Arabidopsis thaliana: one gene and its partner. The protein of the gene in region 2 interacts with the protein of the main gene of each other region in a biochemical or structural test. Each region holds a gene or a part of one and is shown on either strand. Other genes may lie near its edges.

The links. Proteins that work in one complex are often made in the same cells at the same time.
Region 1: the proteins of BLH3 (region 2) and STM form a complex in vitro, tested with the Arabidopsis thaliana proteins (one study listed by BioGRID).

What each region holds. Positions count from the first base shown.
Region 1 is NC_003070.9:23,057,501-23,064,573, reverse strand, and holds STM (KNOX/ELK homeobox transcription factor), read left to right. Parts: upstream 1-2,510; 5' UTR 2,511-2,851; coding exon 2,852-3,280; intron 3,281-3,740; coding exon 3,741-3,996; intron 3,997-4,686; coding exon 4,687-4,940; intron 4,941-5,568; coding exon 5,569-5,778; 3' UTR 5,779-5,992; downstream 5,993-7,073. Other genes in the region: AT1G62350 (Pentatricopeptide repeat (PPR) superfamily protein), read right to left, coding at 6,639-7,061. UniProt on the Arabidopsis thaliana protein: Required for shoot apical meristem (SAM) formation during embryogenesis. Negatively regulates ASYMMETRIC LEAVES1 (AS1) and ASYMMETRIC LEAVES2 (AS2 or LBD6). Probably binds to the DNA sequence 5'-TGAC-3'. Binds to RNA.
Region 2 is NC_003070.9:28,298,442-28,304,939, forward strand, and holds BLH3 (BEL1-like homeodomain 3), read right to left. Parts: upstream 4,288-6,498; 5' UTR 3,962-4,287; exon of another isoform or gene 3,510-3,961; 5' UTR 3,450-3,509; coding exon 2,712-3,449; intron 2,634-2,711; coding exon 2,257-2,633; intron 2,180-2,256; coding exon 2,119-2,179; coding exon of another isoform or gene 2,080-2,118; exon of another isoform or gene 2,053-2,079; coding exon 1,654-2,052; 3' UTR 1,345-1,653; downstream 1-1,344. Other genes in the region: AT1G75400 (RING/U-box superfamily protein), read left to right, coding at 1-909, 997-1,023. UniProt on the Arabidopsis thaliana protein: Transcription factor that is responsive of the nuclear import of SHOOT MERISTEMLESS (STM).

The DNA.
Region 1 (7,073 bases), 5.2 Mb from region 2:
CGGTTATGTAATGAATATACATCCAAAATGGCTTTTTAGTAATGATGTCTTTTCATACTCTTTCCAATCCCTACTACTTTCAGATTATTTGTCCTACTATTATAGAGATATACGTTCGTTTTCAATAATATGAAAAGTGATATATATTTAAATAGTGTGATATATATATAAGTTTTGCAAGTGCATCACTTCCCAAAATCGCATAAATCATTAATCATATTGTCGAAAACAGTATAATAACTTCTTAAACGAAAACGCAGCGCAATTAAAAATAACAACTAGAGATAATTGACAAAACATTGATTAATATTTACCTATAAGTTAATTATTGTATTTAAAATTTATTTAAAGTTCATAAGGAAAACATATGCAAAAATATTTATATCTAATATTTTGCTATGTTATCCTTTTTTTTTTTTACGTTATCCTAATTTTGTTTATCCTAATTTGTTGTGGTTAAAATCTTATTATTGATAAAAAGAGAACTTTTTTTTTTGTCATCATAAAAAAGAGAACTTATTACTTCGATTTTAAAATTCTATGAGCGTAGGAGACAAAGAAAAAAAAAATAAAAAAAAAAAGAAGAGAAAAATCACTTCTTTTCTTCTTTTTAGTCCAGATCCAACATATTTTGGATAACTAAATGAAGATTTTTTAAAAAAATATATTTTAGGGTATATATAAATCATAATTTGAAGCAAATGAAATAAAATCCAGTTTGGTAATATATAAATATGATTTGATGGGTTCCTTGTAATCTCTCTCTATCTATTAGTTTCTCAGTTATCTTTTCTTTGCCAGAAATGGCAGTGAAGGCAGTGGCTGAGGAGAGAGTTTTTTTTCTTCTTTCATGGGGAAAGTAAAACTTTGCCTTGAAGATTTCTCTCTTCAATATTTTTCTAAGACTTTTGATTTCAACGAATCACTGTCCTTAACCTAAAAGCAAGAAAAATTAGCTTTATACTGGTCTTTACTTTTTTTTAACATATTTATTTTTATATAGTTTACTTATAAACATAGACATACGAGTATGGGAATATATAGTATATCCAACTTCTAAATAATATTTCGAATAGTGATAACAAAATTAGCAATACATACGGCTAGTGAAATGTTGATCGAATAAACGGCACTGATGTAATGTACTTATCAATTTTGATAATTTTAATTGTATTGTTTTTCTTTTTTTCCCACAGTATTGAACTAGACAATTAAATTTAAAGTAAAATTATACATTTCTTTCGTTGTGTATTAAAGTAACATGCATAATATCATTTTCCTTCGTACAATCCTCCAAATTGACAATTGATGAATTACTTTGTCAATCGTAAATGAATTTTTCTCAAGTCTGTATACTATTTTCAGGGATAAACAGGTACAGGTGTCCCATGCTTATTCTCTTGATAGTAACATGTGTCCTATGTTGAGTCAATTCTACGTTCGAAGAAGTGCTAACAATTGTTAATAGCCTCGTATATTATTCTAATTAAAATGCCTCGATAGATTTGGTTAGTGGTCTGAATGTGATTGGTTATTTTTTCAAGTGGCAAGAGGTCTACCATCTAATATTACAATCAATCGACCAAAAAGGTCGAGAACATGATAATGGTGGCAAATACAAATGGTTCATTGTTGTCTAATATAACAAGCCATCAGTTGTCACTTTTTAAAAACAATACAGAATACAAGATACTTTTTTTTTAAGGTAAAATGTGTGTTTAATATTTTCGTTTATATAACAAATAAACAGTTACATGTTTTACTCTATGATTATATTTATGACATTTTTCTTCTTCTTAACAACATTTTTTTCCCATAAGAACATTTACAATAGTATTAAAACTTTGATTGCAATCAAATGTTAGATCACTTATTATAAAATTACTAAGACTGCTATCTTTTCCTATTGACAAAAGCGAATCCAATATATGTTACTGAAACAAATGCGTAAATTATACTATATGGAGATCTATCGGTTAATTATTGAGAGAATCTAAGAAAGTTTTTGAGTACAACAGTCCTAATAATATCTTCACATACCATATAATATACATATATACATATACACAAATGTACTTTTTAAACCAACATCAGCATACGTATATCCCATCAGGAAACTTAGACTTTTGGGAATTCATGGTATGAAAACCAAAACCAAATGACAACATTCGATTTGATACTCCCGACCCATGGTAAAGAAATAACAAATTCCAATATATCTTTCACTGGACTTTCCGAGGCACATTCCGGTTTTCTCCATTTCAAGAAATTGTCAAAAATAAATTGAGATCCGGTTTATTACCTCAAAAAAGAAGAAGAGAAATTACAACATTAATTTCCGAAAAGGCATAAATGAGAAATCATATTTCAGCAGAAGAACACAAAAGAGTTAAGAACCCACAGATCACACAACCTCTGTCCATGTCTGCTTTTTACACTTTTTTAAAATAAGTTTCTCCTAAAAAGTTATTTCCTATTTATAATAATTTCCTTAGATTTATCTTCCTGGTCTCTCTTCTGCTGCTTCCCTCTCCCCCATAACTATCACTATTTAGAATTTTCAATGTGGAAAAGGAAGCTGATTGTTGAAGCATAAATCCCGGGAGACCACTTTTGCATTTTCAAATAATTAAATTAAACCATAGATACACACACACAGTTACTTACTCTTTTAGGGTTTCCCAATAAATTTATAGTACTTTAATGTGTTTCATGATATTGATGATAAATGCTAGCTGTATTTACAATGGGGGCTCCTCTTTTTTTTTCTTTATGTTATTTTCATTTTTTATTTCTCATAGCTATATAGCAAAGCCAAAGTGAATAATAATACTAGTGAGAGAAAGAGAAGATGGAGAGTGGTTCCAACAGCACTTCTTGTCCAATGGCTTTTGCCGGGGATAATAGTGATGGTCCGATGTGTCCTATGATGATGATGATGCCGCCCATCATGACATCACATCAACATCATGGTCATGATCATCAACATCAACAACAAGAACATGATGGTTATGCATATCAGTCACACCACCAACAAAGTAGTTCCCTTTTTCTTCAATCACTAGCTCCTCCCCAAGGAACTAAGAACAAAGTTGCTTCTTCTTCTTCTCCTTCCTCTTGTGCTCCTGCCTATTCTCTAATGGAGATCCATCATAACGAAATCGTTGCAGGAGGAATCAACCCTTGCTCCTCTTCCTCTTCTTCAGCCTCTGTCAAGGCCAAGATCATGGCTCATCCTCACTACCACCGCCTCTTGGCCGCTTATGTCAATTGTCAGAAGGTGATGAGAGAAAGAAACTTGAAAAAATTACTTTGAAAGTTTCTTCGTAACTCTAATGATTCTTATTTGATTTTCTTGCACAAAAAAGAAGAGAAAGATTCTAGAAACCCTAATTACCAAACTTTACCTTTTATTTCCTTTTTACATAACCCTTTACTTGATGTCTGAGTTTGATTTTGATATCTACTTTTGTTTACTAGTTACTTAACCCAGCTAAGTATATACAAATCAAAGGATACAATTTTTCCTATATTGAGAAAGTTTCAAGAAACAATTTGTAAAAACCCTACTTGCAAGAGATTATCCAAAATATTGTATGTAGGCTTGAAGATTAGGACATATATAATTATTTCATTTTTTTCTTTACTATATTATATATCCACAATAAACGTGAGGATCCTTATCTTAGTTCAATTAACGTTTTTATGTCTATCATTTACTAATTACACAATTTCTTAAGGTTGGAGCACCACCGGAGGTTGTGGCGAGGCTAGAGGAGGCATGCTCGTCTGCCGCAGCCGCTGCCGCATCTATGGGACCAACAGGATGTCTAGGTGAAGATCCAGGGCTTGATCAATTCATGGAAGCTTACTGTGAAATGCTCGTTAAGTATGAGCAAGAGCTCTCCAAACCTTTCAAGGAAGCTATGGTCTTCCTTCAACGTGTCGAGTGTCAATTCAAATCCCTCTCTCTATCCTCACCTTCCTCTTTCTCCGGTTACTCTCTCCTCTCTCTCTAGTTCTCTGTTTTTTTTTCTTTCTTTTTAATTCATATTCTTGTTAATTATGGCGTCAAATTAAACGTAAGATGAGGAAAGTTGTTTTTTTTCTTTGTGGGTTTTAAGAAAGATTTTCCTTTTTCTGATTTTTCTTGGGTAAATACCCCTTTGATGGTTGTTACTAGGGTTAGTGTCAGATTGTTATATATAGCTTACTAGGTTTACGTGTATAATCTATCTATACATAAGTTAGTGTATGTAGTTGTTTTCATTGAATTAAAACAGTTTGTTTACTGTTTTTTTGTTTTGTTTGGAATTGAATTCATTTGCTTTGGTACAACAACAATCACTGTTCTTGTCTCTTTCTTCTCCGTTTGTTTTGGATCTATTTAATTCAAATGCATCAAAAAGAATATCTGGATCTAGAGTCTGCTCGTCCTTAGATCTATTGCTCAATTTAGACATACACATGTTTTTGTACGTATAATCACATATACATATATCTACACAATGTCATATCACTCTTCTTTTCAAGAATGTAGTTAAGTTTATATAGACACACAAACTCACATCTACTTAACATGTTACTTTGAATTATTTGGATCACTAGCCTATTCTTTTTCATTTCCCTAGACACATGTTCTTGTTGACAAATTTGTCTTGCTTTCACATGTTTAATCAATATAAGGTTATGGAGAGACAGCAATTGATAGGAACAATAATGGGTCATCCGAGGAAGAAGTCGATATGAACAATGAATTTGTAGATCCACAAGCTGAGGATAGAGAGCTTAAAGGACAGCTCTTGCGCAAGTACAGTGGTTACTTAGGGAGCCTCAAGCAAGAGTTCATGAAGAAGAGGAAGAAAGGAAAGCTCCCTAAAGAAGCTCGTCAACAACTGCTTGATTGGTGGAGCCGTCACTACAAATGGCCTTACCCTTCGGTAACTCTCTTCCCTTATACTCTAATTAAATAATCATTTCATGTTTTTAAAAAAGCATTTATATGATAGCAAATTCAATTTAGTTGTCTATTAGCTTGTTTCAATGTTTTTAGTGATTTTTGCATTCATACTATATCGTTAGGGACATTAGTTTATGTTAGCTCATGTTGGCATTGCACAATATGCATTTGCATAATTTGAAATCCTAAAAGCTGAATGAAGTGAACTTATTTAGTCTATGTGTACTGTTTTGGTCTATTAGCCGATGACAAACTTGATTCTTGCTTCCATACCTTTTTTAGGGTCCGAATAATATGTCAATCTTAGTCAAGACTACGATCAATTTCATCTTATGGCTGTGTACCATAACTTAGACTAAACTTTGTTGCACATATTTCAAGTCATAACTTTGGAAAGTAGGGTGCATGAGGCCATACCCTAATGCAATAGTAGCTCATGTCTTTATTACACTTGTATAGTGTCATTACCCATGTTCGTATGAGTAGATGGATTCTAAGTTCTCCTTACAATCTAGCAAATCGTGATGTAGCTGTGATCATGGACTGACCTTATATCGGAGAGAACACTTGATGATTGATTTTTTCTCGCATGTGATATGAAATTGCAGGAGCAACAAAAGCTCGCCCTTGCGGAATCAACGGGGCTGGACCAGAAACAGATAAACAATTGGTTCATAAACCAGAGGAAACGGCATTGGAAGCCGTCGGAGGACATGCAGTTTGTAGTAATGGACGCAACACATCCTCACCATTACTTCATGGATAATGTCTTGGGCAATCCTTTCCCAATGGATCACATCTCCTCCACCATGCTTTGATCGATCCTTTAAAACGTTTATTTCATTATATTTATAATCGTTAAACAGCTTATAATATGTATAATCTATGGTTCTCGGTATACTTGGAACATATGAAACATGTTCCGATTGATGAACAAGCGTTTGATGTTGTGGTGTGTATCCTTTTGTGTTGTTCTATTGTTATGCGAAATTCCTATTCCTATTATAATGATAGTAAAGCTTTTTTGATCTATTCTTTTTATTTGACAACCTTTTTGACAATTTGGACCATTTTTTGGTTGTATGTATATCTTCCTTGCTAATTTTTAAGTATTTGCGTCGAAATTTTGTACTTTTGGGATGGAAAAGACGAAAAGAAAAGAGAGAATGCTATTACTCCAAAAGACCTAGTCTGGCCCAAACAGACCCATCACTATCCCAAAAAGACAAGATCGACCAAAACTTAATCCACTTCTAATAGTTTTGTCCCTTAAAACGCTTTCTGCTGTATGTATCTTCACAAACATATGACTTATCTTGAACCGATTCAATACAGCAGCATTTAGCATTGCTGAGAGTGATCTTTACACATATATACGCTTATAAGCTTCTCAAATTCTTCTTCATATGCTCCTCATCATCTTCAGTTTTCAATAGCCATAATTTGTTCCTACCAAAGACGAATAGTTCCAGTTTCTGCATAGCCACAATCTTCCATTTGTTTTCCCACTTGATCTAACCTGAAACTGGGACATGGTTCCTGAAGTTAGTGGATGTGCAGAACAAGAGAAACTATGGATCGAAGATACATCGGGTCAGCCTCGAGGATAATATCATCACTGACATTTTGAGCACTAACTAAACAGTCCAAACCAAGCATTGATTCAAGACATACCTCTCTATTCAAGATCGCTATCTGTTCTTGCTTCTTCATCACTATCTTCACATATATCCTCAGGAGGATCGTATACAATCATTCCAGGGAAAAGCTCCAAGAAATCATCTTTAACTTTCTCTCTCAACTCAGGATAAGGAACGAGTCCTTTCAAAATAACTCGAAAAGGCAGAGATAAAGGCCGGTCAGGAGACTCTCTCATCTCTCCATACAATCTCATTGCTTCTAAAGGAAGTTCATTATCCAAGAACCCTCGAACAAGGTCTCCAAATGTATGTTGATCAAACAAAACCTCTTCTTTCTTTAAATCTTCCCATACTTTCTTGGTTTCATCAACTTTCTTGTTTCTTGCAAGCATCATTAGCATGTCTCTGTAAAAAAACATGTCCGGTCTGTACCATATTTCTCTCCTCACTACTTCATAGAGCTGAAACATAAT
Region 2 (6,498 bases):
ACGCCTTCTCTTCCCAATCCAGTTAGTGATCTTTCATCGGCTCACACGCGTTTGCTTCCTCCTAAATCCACACCATCAAGACGGGCTCGGCGTTCACCTGGGCATCAGTTGTTTAGGCAGGTTTCTGATAGTCAAATTTTAGGACTGAAATCCCCAATTAATAATTACTCAATCTCAGAAGGAAGGTCGTCCTTTGTGCTTTCGACCTGTAGCAATGACTTCGCCACTGGATCCCAGTACGCATCTTCTGAAGGTGGCTGGTCTATGAACACTTTTTCTGAGCTCGTGGCATATTCTCAAAGGGATAGATGGTCCTTTGATAGCGAACACTTGGGTTCTGGCAGACGGAAACTAAGTGGTGGTAGCAGCAGATTCTCATTCTCCCCTTCCGTTGTTGATCAGCAGGTTTGTGGAGCTTGTTCAAAGTTGCTAACCGAGAGGTCTTCTATAGCCACTTTTGAGCTCCCAATCGCTGCTGTTCTTGCCTGTGGTCATGTTTACCACGCAGAGTGCTTAGAGACCATGACTACTGATATAGAGAAGTATGATCCTGCTTGTCCCATATGCACAATTGGGGAGAAACGGGTTGCGAAAATAACAAGGAAAGCCCTAAAAGCGGAGGCGGAAGCAAAGGCAAAGCAGTACAAAAGATGTAAAAACCGTGTGGTAGATAGTTACGGTGAGAGTGAATGCGATGAGTTTGTATTCCAGAAAATGGGGAAACGAGAAGGCAAAGCTCTCAAGCTGGAAGCTAGTTGCAGTAGCAAGAGCTCGTCTAATAAGTCATTCTTGAAATGGCACTTTGCTTCTATCAGCTCCAAGTGGAATAAACCCTCGTCCAAAGACTCTGCATTGAAGAAGGGATTCTGGTCTAGACATCGAAATAACCGGTCTTCTTCAAGCATAGAGGTAAAGATCCATACACTGAATATTCAATCCTGATTTGCTAGAGAAATGAAACATTCCTGTAAATAACCAATAATACACACATTTCAGGGACTTAATCAGACATCTCCGCTATGATGAAACCCCTCCATCTGGATCAGAGGCATGCGGGTTATTTAGGAAAGCTTTGTATAAAACAGATATTCAGGTTCAGCTATAGCCTTTAGAGCTGTGTTTTAACTTTCTTTTTGGATATTTTGTGTGTTTCATTGTAACCTGTGGGGATAATTTTCAGTAATGAAACAAACTTGTCATTTTAGAAAAGATTTGAGAATTTGCCAACCATTTACAGAGAATGTTTAAAAAGTTGTGTAACGTTTCGTTGTTTACACAAGTTTCAGAGGAACTCAAAATCTGTTCCAATTCTTGTAACAAAATGAGGAAATTAGATCAAATCTTTTTCAGTTTGTTCACACTTAAAAGTATTGTTTATACCATCATGAAGATTATAAACAAAAACATTACAATATCGGCTTACCAAAGTGTACACAAAGCTCAATTTTCATATACAAATGTAAAGTCTAACACCTAAAGTTTTCACAAAATCTATCCTTTATATATGCCACAACAAATATTACAGATATACATATTTGTATAACCCCTATCTATAAAAATGCCAAGAGCGCATTTTCTTGCGCTTCAAGAATCATACTCCCCCAATCAACTGGCATTGCCAGTTCTTAAGCTTGTGAAAAGCTCAGGAATCTTTTAGACAACAAAGTCGTGTAATTGATGGGGATTAGAATATCTGCCATCTTGTTGGTTTCCAAGGCCAACGTAACGATTGTAATCATCAATACCAAACCCATGATAGTTCATCAAGCTGTCGTAATCTCCAGTAGTAGCACGGTCTGGTTTAGGATCTGCAAAGACTAGGTTTTGTTCTGCATCAGATGTATATGGGATGTTGTTGTTGTTGTTTCCCTGATTCTGTTGTTGCGAAGACGAAGAGTCTTCGTGTTTGAGCTGAGATGTTTCCTGCATTTTTTTGGTGTCTTGATTAGAGTTAGAGAGTAACTCTGCTGATTCTCCAAACTCTTCTTTATACATCTCTTCAATCATTGGTTTCCATAGTCGAACTCTCGCGTTAATAAACCAATTTGCAACCTAAATTGCCAAGAATCAGAATACCACTCATATAAAAGCAAGACCAAAGATTGAGCCAATAAGAACCTGGTTTTTCGATAGTCCTGTCTGCTTTGAAAGCATGATTTTCTCTGATTCTTTAGGATATCTACAAAAACGATTGAAATGGTTATCAATGAAGCAATGAGGAGCAGAAAGAAAGTGTCTTACAAACAACAAACTTACGGATGAAGGAAATGCTCAAAGAGCCAAGCTCGAAGTATAGAGACAGAGTTTTCAGGTAAGCCTCTTTGTGGTCTCCAAGCTGGTCTAACCATTCCAAGTTGTTGATGCAAAGCTCTCTGTTGTCTCAACCGTTGATCTAAGTACCTAAGACGCGGTATCCTCTCTCCTTGTTCATCAGAAGTCTCTCTCTCCCCAAGCTTCCCTCTGATCACCTGAATCTGTTCTTTTATCGCGTCGCGTAAACAGCGGAAATGGCGAGAGATTCTATTCAGAGCTACGGATGTGTAAGGCTTAGCTGCTCCAAGACCTGTTACCATCTCGAAAGACGATGCTAAAGCTTCCATTTGATGATGGTATTGGTTATACCTTTTATCTACCTGCAAAAATGTTTTCAAAACTCAAAACTCCAAAGTCTCTCTCTCACTTTAAAGTATTCAAATTTGATTTAGTCTTACCTCATCCACCATTGTTAAAAGCTTGCTCTTCTTGCTCTGTAGCTCCTGACGTTCTGAAGGAGACAACTCCTGCGATTGAGATTTATCATCTTCTGTAATGTTATCACTAGACCCATTGTGAAAGTCTTGACCTTTATCATTCTTCATCTTCTTATTCCCCAATTTCAAATCTTTCCTTACACTAACAACTTCATCAAGCAATTGTTGTGTTGGTTTAAGGTAACGAGATCTCAGTACACTACTCACAAACCCTGATGTCTCGTAACGGTAATTGTTGTAGAATCCAACACCATTATTACCATTGTTGTTGTAAACAGAGGAAGGTAAAATTTGATCAGAGTGATGCTGATGAACACTCAAGCTCTTCCCATTCTCATCAGACATAGTAGAAGGATTAAGATTATTGTAACTCAATTGGTTCGAAAGATTCTGGTAATGATACTGAAACGGAGAAACAGAGACAGCTGACTGGATCTGATTACCAAGACTTAAAGAAAGTCCTCCACCGTGAAAGCTTAGATCGTTACTTGACACCGTTACGTTTCCGTTGACGGCTACGTCGCTTGTTGGTGGGATAAATACCATCTCGTTGTTTCGAACATCACCGGAAACAATCTCGGAGAAAGATGCAGCAGAGGAAGAAGAAGCTTGTTGTTGTTGTTGTTGTTGTTCGTTGAGGTAAATGGATTCTTGGTAAAGAGATTGCATGCCGACACTATTAGGGTAATACACAGCCATTGGATAATAAATCGAAAGTGTTTTGTTGTTTAAGTGAGTTTCATCCGATTGATGTTTTGTCTGAAAAAAGAGAAAGAGAGAGAGAGAGACGTGTGAGTTTGAAACTGAAACTGGATAAATAAAAGAACAATTCTTTAAAGAGGTTAAAACATCTTAATCTCTATATACGCCGCAATTACAGATGAATTCAAGAAATGAAAAAAATATGAAATACTCAATTTAGGTCAAGAAGATATCAAAACCCTAGGTAAAGTTTCCACTTCAATTCAGTGACGCAAACAAAAACAGAGGATGATGTTTGAAATCATGAAAGATATAAAGTTAATTTTTTTTAAGTTCTGATGATTTCATACTTTTGTAAGAATTTAACAGAGACGAAGATGATGATAAAATTCGAAAAAGGAAATCTTTTTGTAAAAAGAGAAACAGAGTACAACAAGTCAATCATATAGCTTTGAATCAAGAAGCTACTAATAAGAACAATCGAATTATTATAGTTAAAGAAATGAAACCTGAGAAAGAGCTAGATGATAAACTATACAAAAGAGAAAGAGAGATTGTGGATGTGGCTGAATCAGGGAACAGAGAGATAAAAAGGGAGAAGAAGAAGAACTTCGAACAGTCGATGACAAAAAGAGAGAGAAAGAAAGAGAAGACACCCAATCCCAAGAGACGATTTTTATTAAATTCCGATACTATTTTAAAACTTTATTTGGCATTCACTAACAAAGAACAGAACCAAACCATCTTATCATTGGAACCTCGACAACAAACCCAGATTTTTTAATTAATGTTTAATAAAATATCAGTGTATCACTAACCTATGGAGAAATTTGACAATCTCTATTCTCTACCAGTAATTCTTTTTTGTTTGTTTTTCTATTCCAACCGAAGCTTCTATATTAAAATTAATAATTTTTTGTTGGTTTTTTTTCTGTGCCAACCATTTAGAGAATAACACGCGTGAGCGGAAATTTTCATATTTTTTTTCCTTTTCTCTGATAGGATTATTGTTAGATAATGGAGAATATTTATACAAATGCGACTTTTTATATGCATTTATATTTCAAGTTATCTGATAAAACAAAAGAATATTATTGGAACCAGAAGGAATACTGTGCAGTGTTGTCATTGACTTGACTTGGTGCTTATATTCAAATAAATATAATTAAAAATAAAGTATGTTTTTTAAAATGAAGAAAAGAGTTGAGTTTTCGTATTCTATGTTTTTATAAAGTTTAATTAATAGCTTGGACATAAATTCAAGCAACCGTTGAAATTTTTTACTATTAAAATTTTCCACCAAAGCTTTGTTAGATTAAATTAACTCAAGCAATCTCAAATTAGTTGTGGTTGTGATGATAAAATCATGGGTTAGTCTGAACCAACAGATGCTTTTATTAATTTCTTTACATAATTGCAGATCCCTGGTTATAAGCGAACGAGAAACATGTGTTACGTGACATGATACTTCATAACTAATCTATGATGTTTTGATGTATAATTGTTAAATTATTATAACGACGGAACTCTCTAAAAAGATTGTGATCAAAATTAAAATTAAACATCTTTTGAGGTCTCCTACTGTTTATACGTTATATACTTGTTTCTTCGCGTAATACATTGGACACACATACTCTTATTAAGTGACGTGCAAAAGAGGAAACTAATTAACTCCATTTTTTCAATATCTTCCTATTATTTACATATTAAAAATAAAGATATAAGTAGAATTGTCAACAAATCAATATATTGAATATAAAGTAATTAAAATTACTAAAGTATCCCTAGGCCTAGAGAATTTTGATTTGCCAGAAATGTTGCTTTGAGGAAGAAGTGTTGTGTCTGCTCAATTGCTTAATTGAGGGATTAAAGGACCTTAACAACCAGTTGGTGACTACCCAATTTCCTTACTTGGAACGAAAAAATCCAATTAGTTGACTAACAAATAAACATATTTTCTTAAATAATCAAGTGATTCATTTGACCTACATGAAGAAAATGTATTTATACGCAAAACAATAAAATGAAAAGAAAAGTTATGATGGGTCGATTCCATGTCCCAAAGGATCTAAGGAGGTTGTGTAATAAATAATAGAAAAAGTAGAATTCGAAAGAAGATGATGAAAAATGAAATAAATAAGGTAGCTGTGTCGGACGCGAAGTTGGTGAAAGTGGCCAAAAACGAAAGACTTGGACGCCAATTTGTTTCGTAGAGACGTTCCTTAACGGAACGAAGCTAACGGCTTTGTGTCCATCTTAATAAATGTTATTCTTATTTCAATTTCTGTATATTTCGTTTATTTCTTTTATTCTTTAATGTTTTTTTTTGTTTTTGGTTGAGTTTCGGTTTTGTCATAGATTGGAACAGCCGACACAAACCTTTCAAGGAGAATCAATGTGTTACAACAAATTCTTTTTTTATGAAATTTTATATATTTATGAGTAGATTATTTGTTTGTTTTTAAATGTACAACTGATAAACCCTACACACAGCTGGTTGAATATGGGAGTATATACAGTGGGAAAGTTTGAAAGGATCAAATATTTTTAACTTTCTAAAATAGGTTAAATGAATGTGGTTTTCTAAAGCTATTTATGATGAGTATTCTTATGAATAATAATATTATACATATCGTGAGTATATAATTTGAAGAAGATGATGAATCGATGATGAGTGATGATGATAGTGCTAAATGAGGAAATGACGAGTAAGAAATCAACAGCTTTTGTTTGGACAAAAAGCTTTTTGTACACCTAGCTATATGGTATGACAGCTAATAATAATTAATATCCTTAAGATATAATTAATCGCAGTTGTTAATCATAAATAGTCGGACCGTTTAACCACATGAGTTTTTCCTATTTTCAAGAGCAATCTGGTTAAACTACATGTAAATGGCAACAAAGTAAGAGTTTATGGTACGGTTAATTAGATGTTCCCAGGTAAATAGTAATACTACAGTTCACAGATTAATATGAGTTTTGCGTTACACTCAAGTCTCTATCTGTATAGCGTTTGAGAAATTATATATGCACGATCCACAAT